Linked DNA regions of Xenopus tropicalis. The protein of the gene in region 2 purifies or fractionates together with the protein of the main gene of each other region. This does not show direct contact. Links are inferred from orthologs where the notes say so. Each region holds a gene or a part of one and is shown on either strand. Other genes may lie near its edges. The genes, in order: nudcd3, klhl22 and nipsnap2.

Region 1 (3,654 bases), on a different chromosome or scaffold from region 2:
ATAAGAAATGAGTTTGAACAGGTCTTCTACAAGTTAAAAAAAAGGAAAGCAACAATCTTATGGGTTGCCATGGGTATTTACGTTGGTGCAGTTTAGCAGCTATTTTTGTAAATCAGCCCACACTTGCACTAAGGAACCAAGAAGTGGGATTATCTATAAAATGAAACCGTTCACCATTTGTGCTGTTTAAAACAAATAACATTTTTTTTCTTTTTCTAATTAAAACAATAGGCAGAATACATTTCCAACGCAATTCTTATTTATTGACCCAAACTAAACAAAACTGTGGCTTTCCCCTTTAAATACATGTAAACACAATTTTAAACAATATGGTTCATATACTATGTTTATGGATACAATCTTACCCATAGAGAAAGCTTCAAACGATTTATAAATATGTTGTTTTATTCATGTCATGTGGGACGGACATCTGTAAACTGCTTTATGAGATCATTTTTGATCCAGTGCGCTCCCCATCTACCTGCTAAATATTACAATTAAAGGGGACATACACCCATCCATAAAACAATGTCAAATTCTGCTTCTGAGCATTTTTTTTTCATTTACATGAACTTTTTTATGTTAGTAGTTTGCACACTGCAAATATCATTATGTGTAAAGGGGTCACCCTCTACTGTTCTGCTCAGTTCTATTACTTAGTGTGACAGAAGCTACAGAACTGTGCAGAGAAGCATCAGGAAATACTTCTCGCTTCAGAAAAACAAGCTTTTTTGCTATTCTGTCTGCCCAGCACCCAGAGAGCACAGTAAAGGATGCTCCTGTTACACATTCATGATATAAGCAGTATAAAAACTGTGAAATAAACAGAAAAATTAAACAGATGGATATATGTCTCCTCTAAGGGAATAAAAGTTTAGCAAGTTTCATGCTAAGTGACATTACCAGTAGAAGAGGATGTAACCCCTGGAGCCAATGCATGGTATGGTTTGTTATGATTAATACAGATTGACCATATCCCTCCTCATACAGAGCAAATCATTTGCATGTGTAACTGCAAATGTGTAAATGTCGAGTTCACACAGAAATTCATCCAGTCTCAGCAAGCACCAAAGTCAAATGTTTACCAAAAGACATAAAACTTGGTTAATAAAAGGCATCGTATCCCAGCTGTGAATCAGCAAACTGAAGCCAGGGCACCGAGGATTTCCAGTGTGTGTCCATTGAGCTCAGAACTGAACAGCCCCTGGCGAGACGTTGAACATGCTTGGATCAAAATTCTGACCTTTGAATGGTGATCCCTCTGCATCCCATCCTTTCTTTAGCATTTCATGCACTTTCTGTCAGAAACAAACAGGAGGAGATACAATGTCAACAGGTATAGGCAAAATCTGTGTGCCGGCGGGACACCAGGAAAAACCCGGTGGGCCCCAGGGTTGGGGGTGGGCACGCCAGGAGGGAGGCCCTGATGACTGCAAAGGGGTGCCCTTCAAGTTGCAGCCTTGGTGGGCCACCACTGCCCCAGTTTGATGTGTGACTGTGTGCTTAGGAAGAGAGACTTATGGCCATCATTTCCAATGCACTAAAGCACAGAAACCAAATGAGTTGTTTGTGGCCACATCCAAACGTTAAAGAAATAGCTGTGATTAGGTCAACCTATATATTTAACTTCCTATCAGTTTGAGGAATCAGGTTTGTCTGTGTGGAAACGGAGTCTAGTGAACTTTAGAAATGTACAGTAACATGTGAATCAGTGTATGAACAGAAGGAGGGAAATGTGTGGATCATGATACTTTTGTTTTTAGGGCTTACCAACTCATGGCTTTGAGGCTTCCCCTGCAACTTCTGGTGATAATCAAATGTTAGTCGGTCCAAAACAGCATGTTCCTCATCATCCACAGTAGCCATGCTGCGTTCTTTGTTGATCTTGTCTATGTCAATCTTTTCTTCATCTTCCAATACGGCATTCCACCAAACCTCGCCACACTTACTCAAGCTGATCTGTGGAGAGTTCCCACTACACTTTAAATACAATGTACTAACAAAGTTTCATCACGTTCTGAATGATACATGGAGGGGTTGCAGCACTTTTGTTAATTGGCAGCCTAGAGAATTAAGGTTCATGAGCAACATCACCTATGTGTTTGTATATTTTCCCGTGTATGTATGGGTTTCCCCTGGGTAGTTTTCTCCACACTCCAAACAGGCAGGTTAATGGCTCCTGGTAAAACTGCCCATAGTGTGTGAATATGATAGGGATCTAATACTGTAAGTTCCACTGGGGCAGGGACTCATGTGAAGGATGTAACAGCCCTGCTCAATTTGTTGGCGCTTTATTAAGAATAATGATAATAGGTTTGTTGCAAACTTGCATATGGATTATTAATGAACAAAAAGGGGAAGAATGCAGGACTGATGAGACAATTTTGGACCCTGAAGCAGAACTGTTAGCTGCATACCAACATCCTGCGTTTTATAGTCCCATTTAGGAAAGCAATGGGTGAAATGTGGAGGCAAGTATTACAATGCACAAAGGGAAAAAGAGAGACGTAGAGCCCCTGAAGAAGTCTTGAAGGCATAATGGAGAAAGGTTGTAAAAGAAGCAGATCATGGGATGAACATAAACTCATGAAGTGGTGATTTACTGGAATGTAAAGAATTTGGGTAGGCATTGGGTTTATTTAGATATAATTCTAGAAGGACTCTTGAGGCACTGTCAGGGGAGGAGGAACAACTAGCAAGATGAATAAGCTTTGCAGCAGGATTTATTGTAGACAGTAAAGCAGACAGCCTGCAGAGTGAAAAACCAGACAGCAGGGGACTGCAGCAAATCAAGATGTGTCATGATAAGGGAGTGAATGAAAATTTGGTGGAATCTACCATATGACTACACACAAACTACATTGGAAGGATGAAAGATGCAAGAGAAGTTTCTGAAAATGAAATATGGGGAGCACGGAAATGCTATACAATGTTTATTCAGAGAGCTTAGGAGCTCAATGGACACTCATAGAATTAAAAATATCTAATATCTTAGCCATAAAGCAAGACAGGGATAAGGCGTTTAGGGGAACTTTGAGTCAATGCAAATAAACTTGAATAAACACCCGTGAATCAGAAATAGGATACAAGTTGAATATATACAAATTGAATACTACATAAACCAGAGAAGTAGTTATTAATACAGTATGGAAGGAATACAGATGCAAACTTGTATCATTATTAATAACAAAATCCATGAGATCAAATATGTTTCCAAAAGAAAACTAGCAGGGAGAGTAAAATTTAATGGCAGAACCATAAAGCACCCAAATGCCAGATGTACCAAGAATAGGAAACTTTAAATATGCAATAAGAGAGAAAACAAACGCTTTAGTGTATTTATAATGTATAAGTTCATTTTTCTTTAAAAACTGCTATACACCCACCTATAACCACAAAGTTTAGAGGAGTGGGTAGTAACCAAGGAGCTGGCCAGCAACTTGTTCTTATTAAGTGGTGAGATGAATGGAAGGAGTATGGCCAAGCTGACTATTGATCTAAGTGTAGAAATTATTTAGGAGTTCTATTGGGAGTATGGTCCTGCTAAGTCTCAATAAGCTGATAATAACTGAAGATTAAACCACAGGTTGTGGGTCTCTCAGACATGGCCCATGTGATCTATATGCAGGGTGCATGGTGGGACCATGCTGATGG
Region 2 (4,205 bases):
TTCTGTGGTGAGCTCTAATCTTGCACTTTGATAAATCTGCCCTTAGGTGGGTTTGCGGTTATGCCAGATGACACATTTAAACATAATTTGTCACAAAACAAAAAACATAATTTGTAAATGGGTAGAACTGTTTGATAAAACACAGAAGGCAAGTAAAAGGGTAAAACAATTGAAAGAGGAGGTGGTTTTTGCAACACGTTTTACAGCACATTTATCACCATAGGAGCTTAATGGATTGGTCAGAATAATATTCTGGTAACAAAAACCTGGGATTCAGCTAAATCTGGAACCATATCTTGGATTAAGGACATGGGCTATAATGTATTTTCTTCTTATGCTGGTTACTGAGAGCCTTTTAAATTAGACTCACATGGGTACGAGTGACCCTACCCTAAGGGCTGGTTATAGAAATTTCACTGTGGTACAAGACTTAACTATTTAACTAAAGCTAAAGCAGACTGCATTGCATATTTCTAAAACAAAGTATTACTAAAATTAAAAGTAATCAAAATTACATTTTAGATATTTGAAACACATATTCCTTGATGCTGCTTTGATAAAGAAATCAAATGCAAATCAAAAACAATATTCAAAACCCGCAAAGAATGAAGGATTTGAATAAGCTTTTCAATTACTCCACAGAGAGGAGCCGCAAGCACAGATCCTAGAAGTCACTAGTCATCTTCCTTTTTAATATTAATGCACAGTGCTAAATAAATAAAGACTCCAGGCTACAAATAAAAGATTGTTATAGAATTTTAATGTGGGATGACAAATATCACAATCTTAGTAACTATCAGCATATTTTTTACAGGATTTTAAAGCTGTCTATGCACTATGTCTCATACAGTGGCCAGCTCCATGTTATAGCTACTACCCTTCCCCAGCTACAGTCAGGTGATCCCAATAAAAGGCAACCATTTGGGAGATTTAATCTTGAAAGCAAGTTGCAGGTGGAACTCAGTCCCATTGTTAAATGTATATTGAAGCAGTAGAATTCTTATTGAATCAGATAAAAGTGACTGTAGGACTGGCCAGACCAGGGATGACTTTGACATAGTTGACCAGCTTGAAGTTTATTGCAATATATGAACAAACAATCCAAGTTTTGCTCAGAGGGGAGGGCATTTCTTTGTAGCTTAATGCACAGAATGTCTTAATGTTCTATATAAATTGGTAATGGGGGAGTGCAGAGGACCTCTTGTTGTTGTCTATATGCATGTAGTCACAACCTCATTGCACCCCCGCCTAATGGTGAAAAATTTAGTGGTGAGCACAACTTTCCCTTCTGTGCACCAGCTCAATTGGATAAGTCCAATTGGGCCCAGTATGTGGGTGGCCAGATAAGGCATATGTCTCCTTGTTTGGTAACCTCACTGACTAAGGGGACCTTTATGTGTAAGCCTGACTTACTGTTCTACTGGTCTGGCCCATCTGTGAAGCGTACAGCTTACCATCTTTTAACTGGAGGATAAAATTGAATGCAATTGCACTGAAAATGTGAAAGGTCTGTATTGTGTCATTGCTTAAGCATGCCGTTACAGGAGAAGGAAAGTTACAATTACTGGGGGATGCCAAAATGTTAGGTACCCCCCAGTGATTATAATTGCTTACCTGATCCCCGGCCAGCGCTCCTGTTAGGAGAAAACAGCACCGGCCGGGGTGTATGTGACAAAGCTATCCTCTTCCTTCTTCATGCATGCAAAGTGGAAAGAAAAGGAGAAGGAAGGAAGAGGATCGCTCACGTGTGTTAACCACTGGTCGGTGCAGTTTTCTCCTAGCAGGATCACTGGCCAGGAGTTTCAGATATGCAATCACAATCACTGGCAGGTGCCTAATATTTGGCAACCCCCCCCCAGTGATTCAGTCTTTAAAATGCCATCTGCGCGTAATTTAAATGTGAAATTTAATTCCATATTAAGACTTAAAAGTTAGAAATAATAATTTAGAAAATACCTTTCAGTTAAGAGTAACCTCCTATACAATATGAATACACCTATGAATAAAACTCAGAGGCACCCCCAGTTGTACCAGGAACTTAGCTAGTGCAAATCAATACAAACTGACATAATCATCAGCATACTTATTATGCGGAGAAGATGAATGTGTCTAGGCTGCAATTTATTTGCTTTGTTTTTCAATAAAACCAGAACATCACCAGATGCCTGTCAGAAAGCGTGGAGAAATTCAAAAGTACCCAGTCACTAACCTGAAATAATCACAGGATGCAGCCAGGAGAATGCGATGAGCCTCTATACTCTTCCCTTCCACTTTCAGGACCACATCAAACAGGATCCCACTATCCCTGAGTGCTACCAGGCCACTCAGAAGAGCTTGGGAATGTTCAGCACTGCGGTACGTCTTGCTGCTGCCCTGCGGGAGTGATGGCTGCTGGGGAGCTTGGCTTGGCTTCATTGTCTCTAAATCCTCTGCCATGGCTGGCAGGAATCCCTTGGGCACAAAACTTACAGCTGAACCAGAAGAGCATCTGTAAGAATGGAATACATTAACAGCCGCCACAATAAAGAGGTAAAGAGCTTATTCTGAGAGATACATCTTGTACTCACAAAATGCTCAAGTTAATTTAGGCACATCTGTGAAACTGACTTGCACTACCAATTGACTACAGCTTGTAACTACTATAAACAGAAAACTCTTTGCTCTACATACAAAAAGTGAAAGTAAAAATAAAACATGACCCACCCTAAGCCAACAGGACACATAAACCAAAGCAGGGTGTGATCTTTACATATGTAACTACACTACATTGTACAATGTTGGTTAAACTATGGAGCCTTGACCTGTAGCTATGTAGTTGTTGGACTACAAATACCCACATCCTGGGGTTTAGGGTTGCAGTTCTAATGTGATCTGAACAGCTGCCTGGGGATAACTATAGTTGTACAATTTGAAGCTCAGTTGTCTAAGAGCAGAGGCGACCGGATGTAAACATTAGGTCAAACTGTCTGAATAGGTGTGAGAAGGAGAGCAAGAGCACTGAGCGCCCTTAACCTGACGGGGGGCGGGGGGGGGGGATCCTGCCATTTACGCAGCACGTGACCTGAGCCATTTCGTGACGTTACCTGCAGCCACAAAAGTCTTTACCTGACTCTCTCTTTCAACACCTAGGCCATGACGTCATTTCCGCCAACACAGGAGACCGCGTAGCGAAGCGGCAATACAAGGCTATGACATCACGGAAGTTCCTTTACGGTTCTGGAATGTTGAATGTACCCCGTACTAACAATGATGAGTGCCGCAACGGTTTCTTCCTGCGCTGACTGATCATGTGATCCGTCTCCTCCCTCTCCTGCAAGCTATACACTATACGCGCTGTATTCCCTATGCACGCTATACTTCACCTACTGTGAGAAGTGCTGCTTCCCCCAGCAGTCAGAAGGCAGGCAGTGCGAGGCCTGGTGGAAACTTAGCATATTCCTTGAAATATATCAAGTTGATAAGTAAGTAAGGATGAACTGACGCTGGCTTTCTAGCTAAACATGCATGGTTACATCATGTCGTCGTAATTTTGATTTGCAGATATAAATATCCCTGCCTTATAGGGAAGACCAGTGTCCTTGGTTGTATTAAGGCCCCATAGAGAGCCAAACACCACTGGCCTGGTTTCACAAACGTCAGATGTAGACATAGCTATATATGATTTTGTCCTCTGGTATAAACAAGGAAGCACCAGGTCCGCTTGGGCTGACTACTGGGGACCCCAAAGTAAATTAATGCTAAGTCCTCCAAAAAGTTACCAGTGTATATTAAACCTGTTGGTTAATTGGGGCAGCGCCAGGACTTCTACCAACTGCAGCCAGTGGGTCTGCCCTCTTTGGAGTGCATATTATTTTCCCAAGTATTTTCAAGCAGCCCATCCAATAACTAGCAAAACACAAAATCACTTCTGGTTATCTTTATTTTTGTTGGCATTTTGATTTGAAAATGTAAACTGCCCTGCTTTACAGGATAGACCACTGGCAGTCAGGGCTTCCTGGAGTGATCCAAAAAAAGATTTAGCAAAATGTTCTAGACATCATTTTGCCCTCTGGTTAAAATAAGAAACGGTATGAGTTTAGTGGTAAGTAGCTTCAAAATTTTTCACCCCAACCCTAAAGCTGTCCATTTACTATAAGATCAACTTTTTAGGCGAGGTCGGGAAAATCAAACCTACACATACAACAATGGCCAACATTCAGCCAGAT
Region 3 (3,654 bases), on a different chromosome or scaffold from region 2:
AGTTAAAAAAATAAAAAGGAAAGACCTGCTTAGTTGCTGTTGGCAAATCCAGTTGTGCAAGATAGCATCTAAGCTAGTAAACAAGACTTTTAATATTTCCCCAGATTTGTGTTATAGGTCACTTTAAACTACAGCTTGAAAGTGCCCTAAATACAGGGTCGAACTGGGCCGTTGGGACACCGGGAAAAAACCTGGTGGGCCCCGATGGCCCAGACCCGACCCGACCCTTGCTGGCACTTCCCCTGCCCGACTGTTCCTCCCCTGACACGTTAAATGTATGCACGCTCAGGGTGGACGTGGGGTGGGGGCCCCTGGGGGGGTTAAAATGAGGTCTGTTACAAGTTAAAAAAATAAAAAGGAAAGACCTGCTTAGTTGCTGTTGGCAAATCCAGTTGTGCAAAATAGCATCTAAGCTAGTAAACAAGACTTTTAATATTTCCCCAGATTTGTGTTATAGGTCACTTTAAACTACAGCTTGAAAGTGCCCTAAATACAGGGTCGAACTGGGCTGCTGGGACACCTGGAAAAAACCTGGTGGGCCCCGGTGGCCCAGACCCGACCCTTGCTGGCACTTCCCCTGCCCGACTGTTCCTCCCCTGACACGTTAAATGTATGCACGCTCAGGGTGGACGTGGGGTGGGGACCCCTGGGGGGGGTTAAGGGACACGGCCGGCGGGGGCACCTGGAGGGCCCCTGGGGCAGGGGCCCCGGTGGGCCCTGCACCCTCCAGTCCGACCCTGCCCAAATAGCATAATTAAACCACAGAAATATAAAGTTTAATAGTAAAGAAAATTAGGGTCAAGGTAATGCCACCCATAACTTTTTCAGGTGCTTTCACTGCAGCCCATAAATTTGGTGTTAAATTGAGAAAACAATGCAACTGCATGACAAGCATTTGTTCAGGATGAACAAATATGGGGGTAGAAGTACAGCAATTTTACTATCATGTTCAGATGTTAAAAAGATAACAGGTTCTCCATCACTATATACTACAGCAGTGACAATATTGTGCTACATAGACATCCTTACTGGGGAATGAAGAAACATTTAGCTTGGGCAGTATGCCAAGGCCTTGCGAGTAGAATAGTCGTGTAGGCCTATAGCCTAATAGTGGGTTTATAGAGATTACTTCTATAATGATTAGAAGTTATAAGCCAGCCTTGCCTGCTGCCAGAAGGTTTTGCAATAGGAAAAAACATCCCATTGTATTTAAGGTAAAAACTGTTATGTGCAATTGTGAAGCAGTAAGAAGGTAATGCTAAGAACAAGCAAAAAAGAAGAAATGAGCGTGCTTCTCATATAAATAGAAGTCAAACTGACCTAGTCTTACTTTTGGTTATGAGAAATCATAAGATACGATGTCTGATAGCTAAAAGCACAAAAGAAAAAGAAAAACAGTGATCGGGTAGTATAGTGGCAACCATGGAATTCAAAATGCCTGGTAGTCCATACAATTTTTAAGAGAACATTGCCTCAGACAGCATTTTACCAGGGGTGGCAAATAGCCACATTTCTGTGTTTTTCTGGGTTATTGTGTCTCAGTTATATAACAATGTATTATCTCTAAAGTGCTCCATCCTGTACTCCAGCAATAATCCATGAAAACAAGACTTATGGTGCAACAAACTCTATACAAGTTGTAAATCATGTGGAGTGAAAATATATTGAAAAACATTACACTGTGCTCAAGATTGTTTACTGCAGGCAAAGGGAGCTTATATAATAATTTAGTCCTTTTATGGCTTTCTTTTACTAAGGTTGCAGACATCACTGAAGAGAATGGTAGATTCTTCTATGCTGTTTTTCTGTCGCTCTGGTTAGAATAGTCTCTGGCACACAGTTTGAAGGACATTCTGCATGTGCCGGTCACCTGTTACTACAGACACATTCCCTAGAGCTATTTAAAGATGCAGTTAAATTCGCCTTCAGTCCATTTTTCATAAGGGAAATGTCACCCCATAAAGGGTAATAAATTACAAATTACAGGAATCTCCCTCAGACTCTATTTTAAACAAATAATTACATTTTTTTTTTAAATTCCCTTTTCTCTGTAATAATACAACAGTACCTTGTACTTTATCCCTACTAAGCAAGAATTGAGAATGTTGAAGATTGTAAAGCATTTATGTTTATATAGTTATAGTGTGGGGAGATAGACTTAGGCCAGGTGTATTATATTGTATATAGTAATATAAACTCAACGTGCTGCAAGAGCTGTATAACTTGGTCCTTTTGCCATGTCCATTTTAAATCTTGCTTCCCAGCTCTTACTGATATATTGTTATTACAGGGGTCTTGCATCATCGAGTCAGAAAGCCAGAGAAGACAGCTGGTTGCGATCACTCTTTGTTCGTAAAGTCGATCCACGGAAGGATGCTCACTCAAACCTTCTGGCCAAAAAGGAGATCAGTAACCTGTACAAAATTCAGTGTAATTATTACCACTTCTCAGTTACTAGAGCATACATGAAGAGAAGAAAATACTTTCATACAGAAAACCTCTAAGCTGGTATTCCTAAATGTTTTTTGTGATCTACTAAACAGAGGGCAGTTCTAGTGTAGCCTTTCAGACTTTCAGTGGGATGTTTAACCATTTTGGTTAACATCTTTTTTCCTGCAATTACATAGTTATTTTATGATTAATAGAACACCCTCTTCTCATGCAGTGTATTTGGAGTATGGATAATCCCATAAGAGGCAGATATATATATTGATCTATATATTTTGATCTATATAGTTCTGGTACAGGTGCAGTGCACTTCCCTTTCAGTTGAAGGAAACTTGCTCTCAGAAAGTCCCCAAACACTACCCATGGAACCAGAGCTATAAGACTGGACTGAAGTGTGAGATGTTGGTAGAAATGTTAGTGAAGGATTTGGTGATTATTGTTTTATGTATTATGGCTTATATATACTGCAGACTCCAGTCTACCTTCAGTAGCAGTATTCTTCACTGGCATCCAGGCCACACTACAGTTAGGATGAAGGACCAAAGTCTTTAATGTGAACAGACCTTTACAAATTAGGAAAATAAGATATTTACATAGCATCTTGGTTTTATGCGGCAAATTATTTACAATCTTTATATTGCCTGAAAGAAGCTTTTATATTGTATATTGATCAAGCCACTTTCTAGTTAATATTTTCATGTATGGCATGAATGGTCTTTCCTTCTTCTTGTTAATTATTAGCAAAACTTCACTATCCTCATATAATTTTGTGTGCTTTATGCATTGATTTATGACAAATATTTGTTTTAAATTATGATATGACTCACTAATGTAACAGCACTACTGCCATATTTTCCATAATGGTACACATGGAGTTTGCACATATTTATCACCTCATTAATGAAAAACCCAGAGAACAAAAGGCCAGGAAGTCTGAAGTAGTTAGCATCAGTAAGGGTTATGTTAGCAACATTGATATTAAAGGAAGACCCACAGAGAATGACTGCAAGGAATCAGAGTGCAGTCAAGCACCTTTTTGTTTGATGTGTGGCCAGCAGTAGACATCAGGAAACAGCAAATCCTAAATAGCAAGTAAGCGTCATGTTCAACATTATGTGATGTATGTGTGATTTAATCTTTCAATATGGCTATGGCCTCACTTCTGGGTTGATTTTGACCTTTTAGTCCCATGTAGGAACATAGGAA

Evidence for each region.
Region 1: the proteins of klhl22 (region 2) and nudcd3 purify together in Homo sapiens (co-immunoprecipitation; 3 studies listed by BioGRID and IntAct, counting the BioPlex papers as one, with this or other methods). This does not show direct contact. The link is inferred for Xenopus tropicalis from reciprocal best matches to the Homo sapiens genes KLHL22 and NUDCD3.
Region 3: the proteins of klhl22 (region 2) and nipsnap2 purify together in Homo sapiens (co-immunoprecipitation; 3 studies listed by BioGRID and IntAct, counting the BioPlex papers as one, with this or other methods). This does not show direct contact. The link is inferred for Xenopus tropicalis from reciprocal best matches to the Homo sapiens genes KLHL22 and NIPSNAP2.

The regions. Positions count from the first base shown.
Region 1 is NC_030679.2:126,199,362-126,203,015, forward strand, and holds the end of nudcd3 (nudC domain-containing protein 3), read right to left. Parts: intron 1,960-3,654; coding exon 1,771-1,959; intron 1,299-1,770; coding exon 1,188-1,298; 3' UTR 238-1,187; downstream 1-237.
Region 2 is NC_030677.2:152,812,123-152,816,327, reverse strand, and holds the start of klhl22 (kelch-like protein 22), read right to left. Parts: upstream 2,941-4,205; 5' UTR 2,840-2,940; coding exon of another isoform or gene 2,802-2,839; exon of another isoform or gene 2,724-2,801; coding exon of another isoform or gene 2,704-2,723; intron 2,642-2,703; exon of another isoform or gene 2,568-2,641; intron 2,489-2,567; coding exon of another isoform or gene 2,437-2,488; coding exon 2,210-2,436; intron 1-2,209. UniProt on the Homo sapiens protein: Substrate-specific adapter of a BCR (BTB-CUL3-RBX1) E3 ubiquitin ligase complex required for chromosome alignment and localization of PLK1 at kinetochores.
Region 3 is NC_030678.2:98,148,808-98,152,461, reverse strand, and holds part of nipsnap2 (protein NipSnap homolog 2), read left to right. Parts: intron 1-2,290; coding exon 2,291-2,430; intron 2,431-3,654. UniProt on the Homo sapiens protein: Protein involved in mitophagy by facilitating recruitment of the autophagy machinery required for clearance of damaged mitochondria.